Regions from separate parts of the Mus musculus genome. Here region 2 is reported to be linked to region 1. Evidence: microRNA targets listed by miRTarBase, many of them from high-throughput screens and not tested one by one. Region 1 holds a microRNA gene; the other region holds the end of a gene's coding sequence.
The links. The annotated mature microRNA mmu-miR-3102-5p reads GUGAGUGGCCAGGGUGGGGCUG and lies in region 1 at 1,887-1,908, opposite strand. An mRNA with a match to its seed (bases 2 to 7 or 8) in the 3' UTR can be bound and repressed. Matches are read on the target gene's strand: a 7mer-m8 pairs with bases 2 to 8, a 7mer-A1 pairs with bases 2 to 7 and ends in A, and an 8mer does both.

Region 2: the mRNA of Reps2 is a reported target of mmu-miR-3102-5p. The part of its 3' UTR that is shown has no 7-base or 8-base seed match.

The regions. Positions count from the first base shown.
Region 1 is chr7:100,880,502-100,884,728 of GRCm38, forward strand. It overlaps Mir3102 (microRNA 3102), which reads right to left and starts at 1,908; the gene lies at 1,805-1,908. It overlaps Arhgef17 (Rho guanine nucleotide exchange factor (GEF) 17), which reads right to left. Exons shown (of 21, transcript NM_001081116.1): 4 at 3,267-3,383; 5 at 2,969-3,061; 6 at 2,615-2,791; 7 at 2,272-2,322; 8 at 1,909-2,018; 9 at 1,719-1,804; 10 at 1,192-1,310; 11 at 678-891; 12 at 100-173.
Region 2 is chrX:162,413,896-162,417,895 of GRCm38, forward strand. It overlaps Reps2 (RALBP1 associated Eps domain containing protein 2), which reads right to left. Exons shown (of 18, transcript NM_178256.4): 18 at 1-3,716. The coding sequence ends at 3,648. Among named protein-coding and RNA genes, the nearest start is that of Reps2, 230 kb to the right of the region's middle.

The DNA of each region.
Region 1 (4,227 bases):
AAAATACATATGTGAGATGGTACACAGCACAAAACCTCATACACATGTATGTAGCTTTGAGTAGACACGTGTCTACATGGCCCACACGCACACACACACCTGCATGCCACTGCGAGTCTTCATGATAGGGATGGCCTTCAGGAACTCAGGGTCTAGACAGCTTTTACTGGATGCTGTAGTAGAGGAGACAGGGCAAAAGGAGAGAACCCCTGCTTAGCACCCACCTTACAGTGGCTCTGGTCCCTCCCCATTCCAGTCTCCCTAGGGAGGGCCGGGTACCAGCTCAGCTAGAATGAGAGGTCATGGATTACTCCGTTTGTGTCTGGCCTCAGTTTTCCTTTCTGTACAATGAGTAGCCCTGGATCTCTAAGCTGTAGACTTAATAATAACTTTCCAGGACTTAGCTGAGTCTATACTGAGGAAGAGGAAGGTCTTGGTGGTTCAGGCGTATGCTGGGGTCCCTGTCCCCAAACGACTCTGTCCAGGAGTTCCTTCCCCCCCAGGAAGAAGCTGGGAGCCAGAGCAAATGTCCAGCCTGCTGCTTCACTGTGGAAGTCTCAGGCCACCTTCCCTATCGGCCGCTGGAGGACAGGAGGGCAGTTCAGAGAGTCCTGGCTTCTACAGTCAGGACTGCACAGGGACTGTGAGAGAAGACACCAACATGAACTCTGGCTCACCCAGCTTCCTCTTGGCCTCATCAAAGGCCTGCTCAAAGCCCAGGCGGGCATCCGGGTGGGGAAACTCAAAGATGTAGGAGTCGGTGCCCTCGGGCCGGGTGGCGCACAGCTCCAGCTTGGTGGGCGGGAAGGCCAGGGAGCAGCATAGCGCCTGCTTTTCTGACAGGTCCCGGTGCATGGCGGCCGAGAGATCCCTCAGTGCATCGTCTAGACTCTGTGGGAAAAGAACCCAGGCCTCAGGCCAAGGTGTCACCACATGGGCACCTGCACCGAGGGGACCGTGGAAGGCAGCCTCCTCCTGCCACAGACAGGGATGGGCCTTTCTCCCCCTCAGAGGTCTCCTCCCTCAGACCCCGGACCTGTCACTTCCCTTAAGTGGGAGCAAGACTATAATTTTCCCCTTCAGATAAGTGACAGGACCAACTGCTCCCTCAGGCAAAAGCCAAGACTGTCTGTCCCTCAGGCAAGGTCAGGGGAAGTCCCAGCCAACACTGCCTTAGCTCAGGGCACAGACCTGGTGGGGGAAGCCGAGGCTCTCGGAGAGCTTGCTCATTTGGCCCAGGGTGGCCAGGTCCTCATCCAGGCGGCTGATGGCTTTTTGGATGGTCTCCCGATTGGTGGCTTGAGACGCCCCTGGCGAGGACAGAGGAAAGCCATGAACACATCAAACAAGGTCAAGCTTGGACAGACACACTTCCCTTAGCGCACAGCCTTCAGCTGAGCACGGGATTGGTCTGGCAAATGGGAGCACTTCCAGACCCAAGCTCTCAGAAACAAGGTCAACAGGTAGCTCTCAGAAAAAAAAAACAGGCCCGGGAGGAGAGGTCTGGTTTAGAGTCACAGGGCACAGAACGGCCAACTCTTGGAGAACTTGCTAGGGCACTAAGAGGATGATTTGCATGGAAACTAACCCGGTTCTTCAAAACCAATCTCTCATATGGGATGAAAGATGAGTCACAAGAGCAGACAAACCAACAGACAGGCAGGCAGACTCAGGGGAAAGCCACCAGCAGAACCCCTGACAGACTCAGCCAGCCTCACCCTTGATGATGTCTGTGTCTTCCAGTGGCAGCTTCCACAGCATCTTGTATTTGCTGGCTGTATCAATGACGCTGGCTGCTGTGTACCTGTGGGTAGCCAATGGGGTGCTCTGGCTGGGGCAGGGAGTAGAGCCCACAATAGATCAATGGCTCTCCTGCCTGCACCACCCAGCCCCACCCTGGCCACTCACAGGCTCATGGAGCTGCGCCTCAGCGAGCCCGACTTTCGTTTCAGGGTGGTACAGACAATGAGGTCTGTGAACAGGAAGAGGGATCGGTCCTTCTTGCCTCCAATTGCCTTCTGTAGGGTCCAAAGTGGCATTCAGGCTCAGTGTGCACAGTCTAGAGGCCGACCTACATTACCCTAGTTCCCCAGGAACAGCAAATCCAAGGGAGGGGTGAGGGCTCTCCCCCACTTATGTGGAATCGGGATTCATGCAGGGCTCCCATTGTGTGGTGCTTGGGGAGCAGGAACCAGAGGGCAGCAGGCGCCAGAGAGTGAACTTGGGTGGGTTGAAGGTACTTGGGGGAACAGCCAATGGGAGAACCCTTACCACTTCAATAACCATCTCCTGCCTCAGGAACCGCCGCAGGGGGGCCTGGAGCTGGTGGGTAGGAGAGAACTAGTTATTAGTCTATTAACCCTGCAGTGATCGGTTGACCACTCTATGAACGAGGTCAGCCAGAGCGACATCCTGTCCTCGCTTGCATCACTGGGCTGCCAGACAGGGACACAAGGTCAGACAGAGGAGGAGGAGGAGGAGGACACAGAAGGGTGGGGCACTGTGGTCACAGAAGCAAGCTGACCACAGACCTGGACGTGGATGGCCACAATCCGGGTGACAGATGAAGACACAGACAGGGACAAGTTGGGGCACGGCAGGGTGGGGCACGTACATCCTCCATGCCCTCGATGTGGGCTTCGATCTCCTGAAGCACGCGGGCATGCCGCTCGGCCTCCTCAGCGCTCCGCACACCCTTGTTGATGCGCTCAGCCACCTGCTTGATGTTGCGCTGAGCATCGAGCAGCAGTGGGTGGTCTGGATGGTCTTCCGGTGTGTGCTTCAGAAGGTCCTGGGGCGGGAATGGAGACCTGTTTAGCTGCCCTGAGGTATTGAACTGACTGCTGGAGCATGAGAGACCATGGTATAGGCATCAAGGAGGACTTTCTTTCCTGCCTGGAGTCTGAGAACAGACATACTCCTCCCCCCGACCCCCAGGGCCTCCCTGTCCAGCCAGGCCCGTGGTTACCTTCACCAGAAGCTCATAGCGTGGGATTCTCTGCACAGGCTTGATCATGAGGTCGGACAGCGCCTGCTTTTCCTTGTTCTCACGCATGCTTTGCTGAAACCGAAGGCAGAGTGGAGGGAGTTCTCACATGAGGACTGACACGGCAGGAAGAGACACGCTCCTAGCCAAGTCCCTCCAGGTGAGCCCAAAGGCAGAGGCTGACACACTTGCAAGCACCACAATGTTTTTGGTCAAGAGCTCCTGGGATGCCCAGAGCTAGCCTGACATGTTAGCTTCACCCCTACCCCAGTCCACATACCTCCAAGAACTTGAGAAAGGCTGGCCTGGCCTCCTTAGCTACACGCACAGCATCCTTTGCATTGAGGAAGTTATCAATATAGGCCGAATAGATGTTCACCAAGACGTCTTTGGAAAACTGTGGGTGAGGAAGCAGGTTAGGCAGGCTCAGGTGTCCCTCACCCACTTCACCCTGTCCTGGCTTCTGTCTATTTAACTTGAAATGGTCAGGCAGGTCTTCTCTGTCTTTCTCAAAATTCATACATGTTGCATGCATGAACGTGACTGAATGAGCAGGTGTGTATGTATATATATGTATATATATATACACATATATGTATACATACATACAAATACATGTGCCTAGATGTGTGCTGAGACAAGACCTGGGTTGTTTTTTGTTTTTCTTTTAATGTTGCTGCGGCTGTTGTTGTTGTTTATTTGTTTGTTGTTATTTGTTTTCACTTCCAGACAATCTATCACCAGGTCTCCAATCCCATTAAACCAGCAAGGCAGGCCTCAGACCTTCCTGGTAGTAGGAGTGAACACATTATTGTAGCTTCTGGGACTCTGCCTGTGCAGTTCGTTCCTCCATGAGGAACATCCCTCCCAGCACAATAGACCCACCCTTGGCACTGAGCTGCAGTCTGCTTTTATGGAATGTGCCTGCTGCCTGACTTAGGGGCTCTCTCCTGGCAGAATGAAGCCTGGCTCAGGACAGGGTTCACAGTGGTGGCTAATCCTGCTGGTTGGCTGATGGTAGGTGCTGGTGGGGGGCGGAGGAGAGGGCTTTTCCACAAGAGAGGACAACTGGGTTCCAGTTTCAGCTGCACCAAGGACAGGCTAAGATACAGATCTTGGAGTCCCTGATTCTCTAAGGTGCCAAATGTTCCTGTCTCTGGACATGGCAGGGCTGAACCTGAGCCGATGAGGGAGGGCCTGCCTTGTGGAGCTCCCTGTCAGCCCACAGACAGCAGCCAGGT
Region 2 (4,000 bases), not on the chromosome of region 1:
AGACATTGGTGGGAAGTCAAATAAAAGTTCATGGTTTTGATTACTTATCCCTAAAATGTGTTCAAATGAATCATTTGTGAGTGACCAACAATATACTGGAGAAAAGTATAAGCTACTACATATTGAGTTCATTTTTATCACAGTAGTCTATTTGAGAAAGCATGGGAATATGCCCATGGGAATATGCGGCTGGAATCTATTGAAAGCAGTAGCTTTAGAAAGTTCTGCCAAGATTTAAAGGAACATACTGCATCATCAAAAGTGAAGCATTAGAAGAATGGTTTAATAACATTATTTCCACTCAAATTTTATTTTTTTTTAAAGCGGAGAGAAATATCTAAATCTAAAACTCCTTAGAAGATGCTTTCATATCTACAGACCAATTAAGTCAATAAAATTCAACATGATAAATAAAAAAGGCTTTCTAATCTACTTTTAGGATAGACAGAGGACTACCTTGGAATCTATATAATCAGGCTACATCCCAATTCTACCACTAGCTATTATTGTGGATTCCTGGGCCAAGAGTCCACAATTATTAGGGATGGGATTTTCCCATGCTAGCTATAAAAGAGGAGCACTGGTCCTGCCTAGTTCTAATAGTCACACAGCACAGCTTCCATCTAAGCTGGCTTGTTTCTCAATTAGTCCCAAACACTTGTCTGATGCTTATAAAGTGCTTCGTCTTTCCAACTAGAACAAATATCTGCCTTGATTGTCACATTACACATCCATTCTTGCTATTTATCATTCAAGCTCTGCTTTAGGTTTGTGGATAGAAAGCCAGCCAAAGCTGTATGCTACTTACTAGAGATGCTAAAAGCCCCAATAAGCCCATGATCATTTCCTACTTTGCTTTCATCTGTAGGACTGGAGAATCCCCATGCAAGAACACCATTGAGCAATAGGGCAATTAAACCCCCATGAATGGAGACAAGGTTAACCTTCATGCTATAGAATTCTGCAAAACAAGCAACTCTTCATCTCTCCTCCTTCATCAAAGAAGCTTCTTTTTGTGGAAAATGGAGATAAATTCCAAAGTAGTTCTACAAGTGATATCAATGTATCTGCCTTCCTATATCATATTAAAGGCTCTCAAAAAATATTATCAGGCACTATAACTCTAAAAGTGTACATCCTAAGAAAACACAGAAGTAAAGGATAAATACTAGTCACATAACATGTATTTAGTAGTGTATATTTAATAGAAACACAAGTATTTTCTTTTAAGAATCTATGTATAAGCAACTACTCAACTGATCAAAAGTCCAGCTAAAAATACTGTGTGTGTGTGTGTGTGTGTGTGTGTGTGTGTGTGTGTGTGTGTGTGTGTGTGGTGTGTGGTTTAATGCAATGCCTCAGTTAAAATATTGGTGATGGGCTGAGGGTATGGTCCAGCATTTGCCTAGGATGAATGCTGTCCTGGGTTTGATCCCAGCACCACAAGAAATATATTGGTGAGGCTTCATTGTCCTTGATTGTCCAATGCAAGTTTTATCCTTTAAGGAAAACAAAGCCAACTAAATAAAATTCCAATCTCTTCAACCAGTTCCCTGTATCGTTTACTTCATGAGGGAAGCAATATGTCAGTGTTTTTTAACTGCTCAGTGGACTAACATTCCTTAGGTTATGTCTGCTTGGTGGATATGAAGTGCTCTCCCACGTGAGTGTATATGCACTGGAAGATCTTGAGATAAAGTGCATATGTTAGTCTTTCCTCTATTGAATGTACAAAATGCCAAACATGCTGTAATCATAACACAGCCCTCCCATCCCGGCACATGGAAAAAGGAAGTCACCTGGAATCTGTACTGACCCAACCATAATCTTAGGGGGGGTTAAATCATTCCTGAGCCCTCCCCACAAGAACAACAAACAAACAAACAAACAAAAGGCAGCCAAAGGAAAAAAGAAATGCAGAAACTGTTCAAGTTTCATGACTTTCCAAATCAAATCAGATTCAAATCCTTAAAATATGCATGGAAGAGAGTCAACAATTTGTTTTTCTTTGGAAAAAACATCATCTGTTTGAACTCTTCTCTTCTGTTGTTAAGCTACTGATAAAGCTTGCCAAAGGAACAGGGAAATATTAAATAAATGCCTATTTTTACTAAAAGCTCTCAGCTCTATTGAAATCAACAGCTTAATCTTACATATTGTAAATCTATCCAAAACCATTTCAAAAGTACCCTGTGCACACTAATGCTAATATTAAAATGCCCTGTTGAAGATCAGTGATTCAGGGACCCTATAACCCTACAGGTCAGTCATTTCCTACTTTCAGCTGGACTGTATTACGACATTTCGACAGGATAGTTGCTTCTGTAATTTAAGCTTGCTTTGTATCACTTCCACTAGAGTTAGCTGAGATCCCCTGAACTGTATATAAAGTTAATACTTCCCAAGAGTACACTTCACAGAGAACAAGTAGTCATGTAGCTGGTGGGAAGATTGCATTCTTTCATTGTGTCTTCAGAAGCAACACATCTGAAATCCAGCCTAAAATAAAGACAACAATGACAACAGCCAAGGATTGTTGCAGAGTTAGTGGCTATTTTTCTTCCCTTCTCAGCCTGGATACCCGGATTCAACAACAAATAGGTAGCTATCCAGCTACTAATATTTGTTGGGTGGTTTCCAAGCTTATACATTTACAAAGATGTTATCCCATGCAGGATAAAAGCAGAGATCTGGCAACTATTTATTTAATTTGGTCAGGCAAGGCAGTTAAAGTAGATTGTGCTTGCACAAAAATTTACATGAAAAGGACTAAGTTATCTAGGTTGATGGCCTAGATTGGCCAAGTTAAACAGTTCATTGCCAAAATTCTCTACTTCACAGAGGTGTAAAGACCCAGTAAGGTTCTGATATTTAATAGAAAACAATAGTCAGATATTATGTATAACTGACATAATATCAAAATGGTACTACAGAAGCAGTTTTTGGCATATAGTGGTAGAGGGCACAGTGCCAGTGTAAATCTGATGCTTTAATTGTATTCCAGCTTTTGATTTTATTATCATCATGCCTAAGACTATCCAGCTGGAATGCACACTATTCGGGAAACCAACATACTGTATGTAGCATACATATAAGAATAAAATGGGCATGAGCATCCTGGAAGTACAGCATTAATAGGTACTGTAGAATTATAAATTCTTTAAATAAATAATGCTCCGAATTATCTGCTAAAAGGGTAACTTAAATAAGGAGCAGTATCTAAAAGTGGTTAAAATGGGAGATAAATTCCAATGATAAGTATATTTTTGAAATGGGATTTAGGATTAAACTGAGGCTTCCTGTATATCAGGCAAGCACTCTACCACTGAGCTATACACACACTTCTCTTTTCACTTTCTATTGGAGACAGTGTCCCAACAAGCTTCTAAAAATGGCCTTGAGCTTATGACCCTTCTGCTTTATCCTCCGAAGTATTAATATTTTAAGTGCAATGATCAGTTGAAGACATATTTTACTACCACTGTAAAATACACAAGTGAAGTGCAAAAGAGAAAGTCATATAGATTGTGTTGTGCTGCTGACAGCTTTTGACATTCAGACATATATGACAAGTAGTTGGGCTTAAACACTCAAAAGGAAGATCTTGGCAGACAAGGTCACCTGCTGTCACTCAAGCCTCTAGGATGTCACAACACTGTGACTGGGCGAAGTTGTTCCAATTGGTTTTCCAATGCGATCCGTTCTTGATGAACTTCCTAAATTATACAAAACAGGAGAAAGAAAAAGAAGAAAAAGCATCATTTCGTGGGCTCATCTCTATTTCTTTACACGTTCAAAGGAAATATAGAACCAACCCTCAAACACTTGGAGACAAGTGGCCCAAAAGGCACTGATTTCAATGCTAGGGATTAGACAGTGGGGGATTCCCAGTCACTAACCTCAGCCACTGTACTGCTCAGCACTGATATGTGTTAACATAGAGTGGAAGCCTCAAAACAGCCATCTCAGCTACAGGAATGGGCAGCTAAGTTCCAGCATG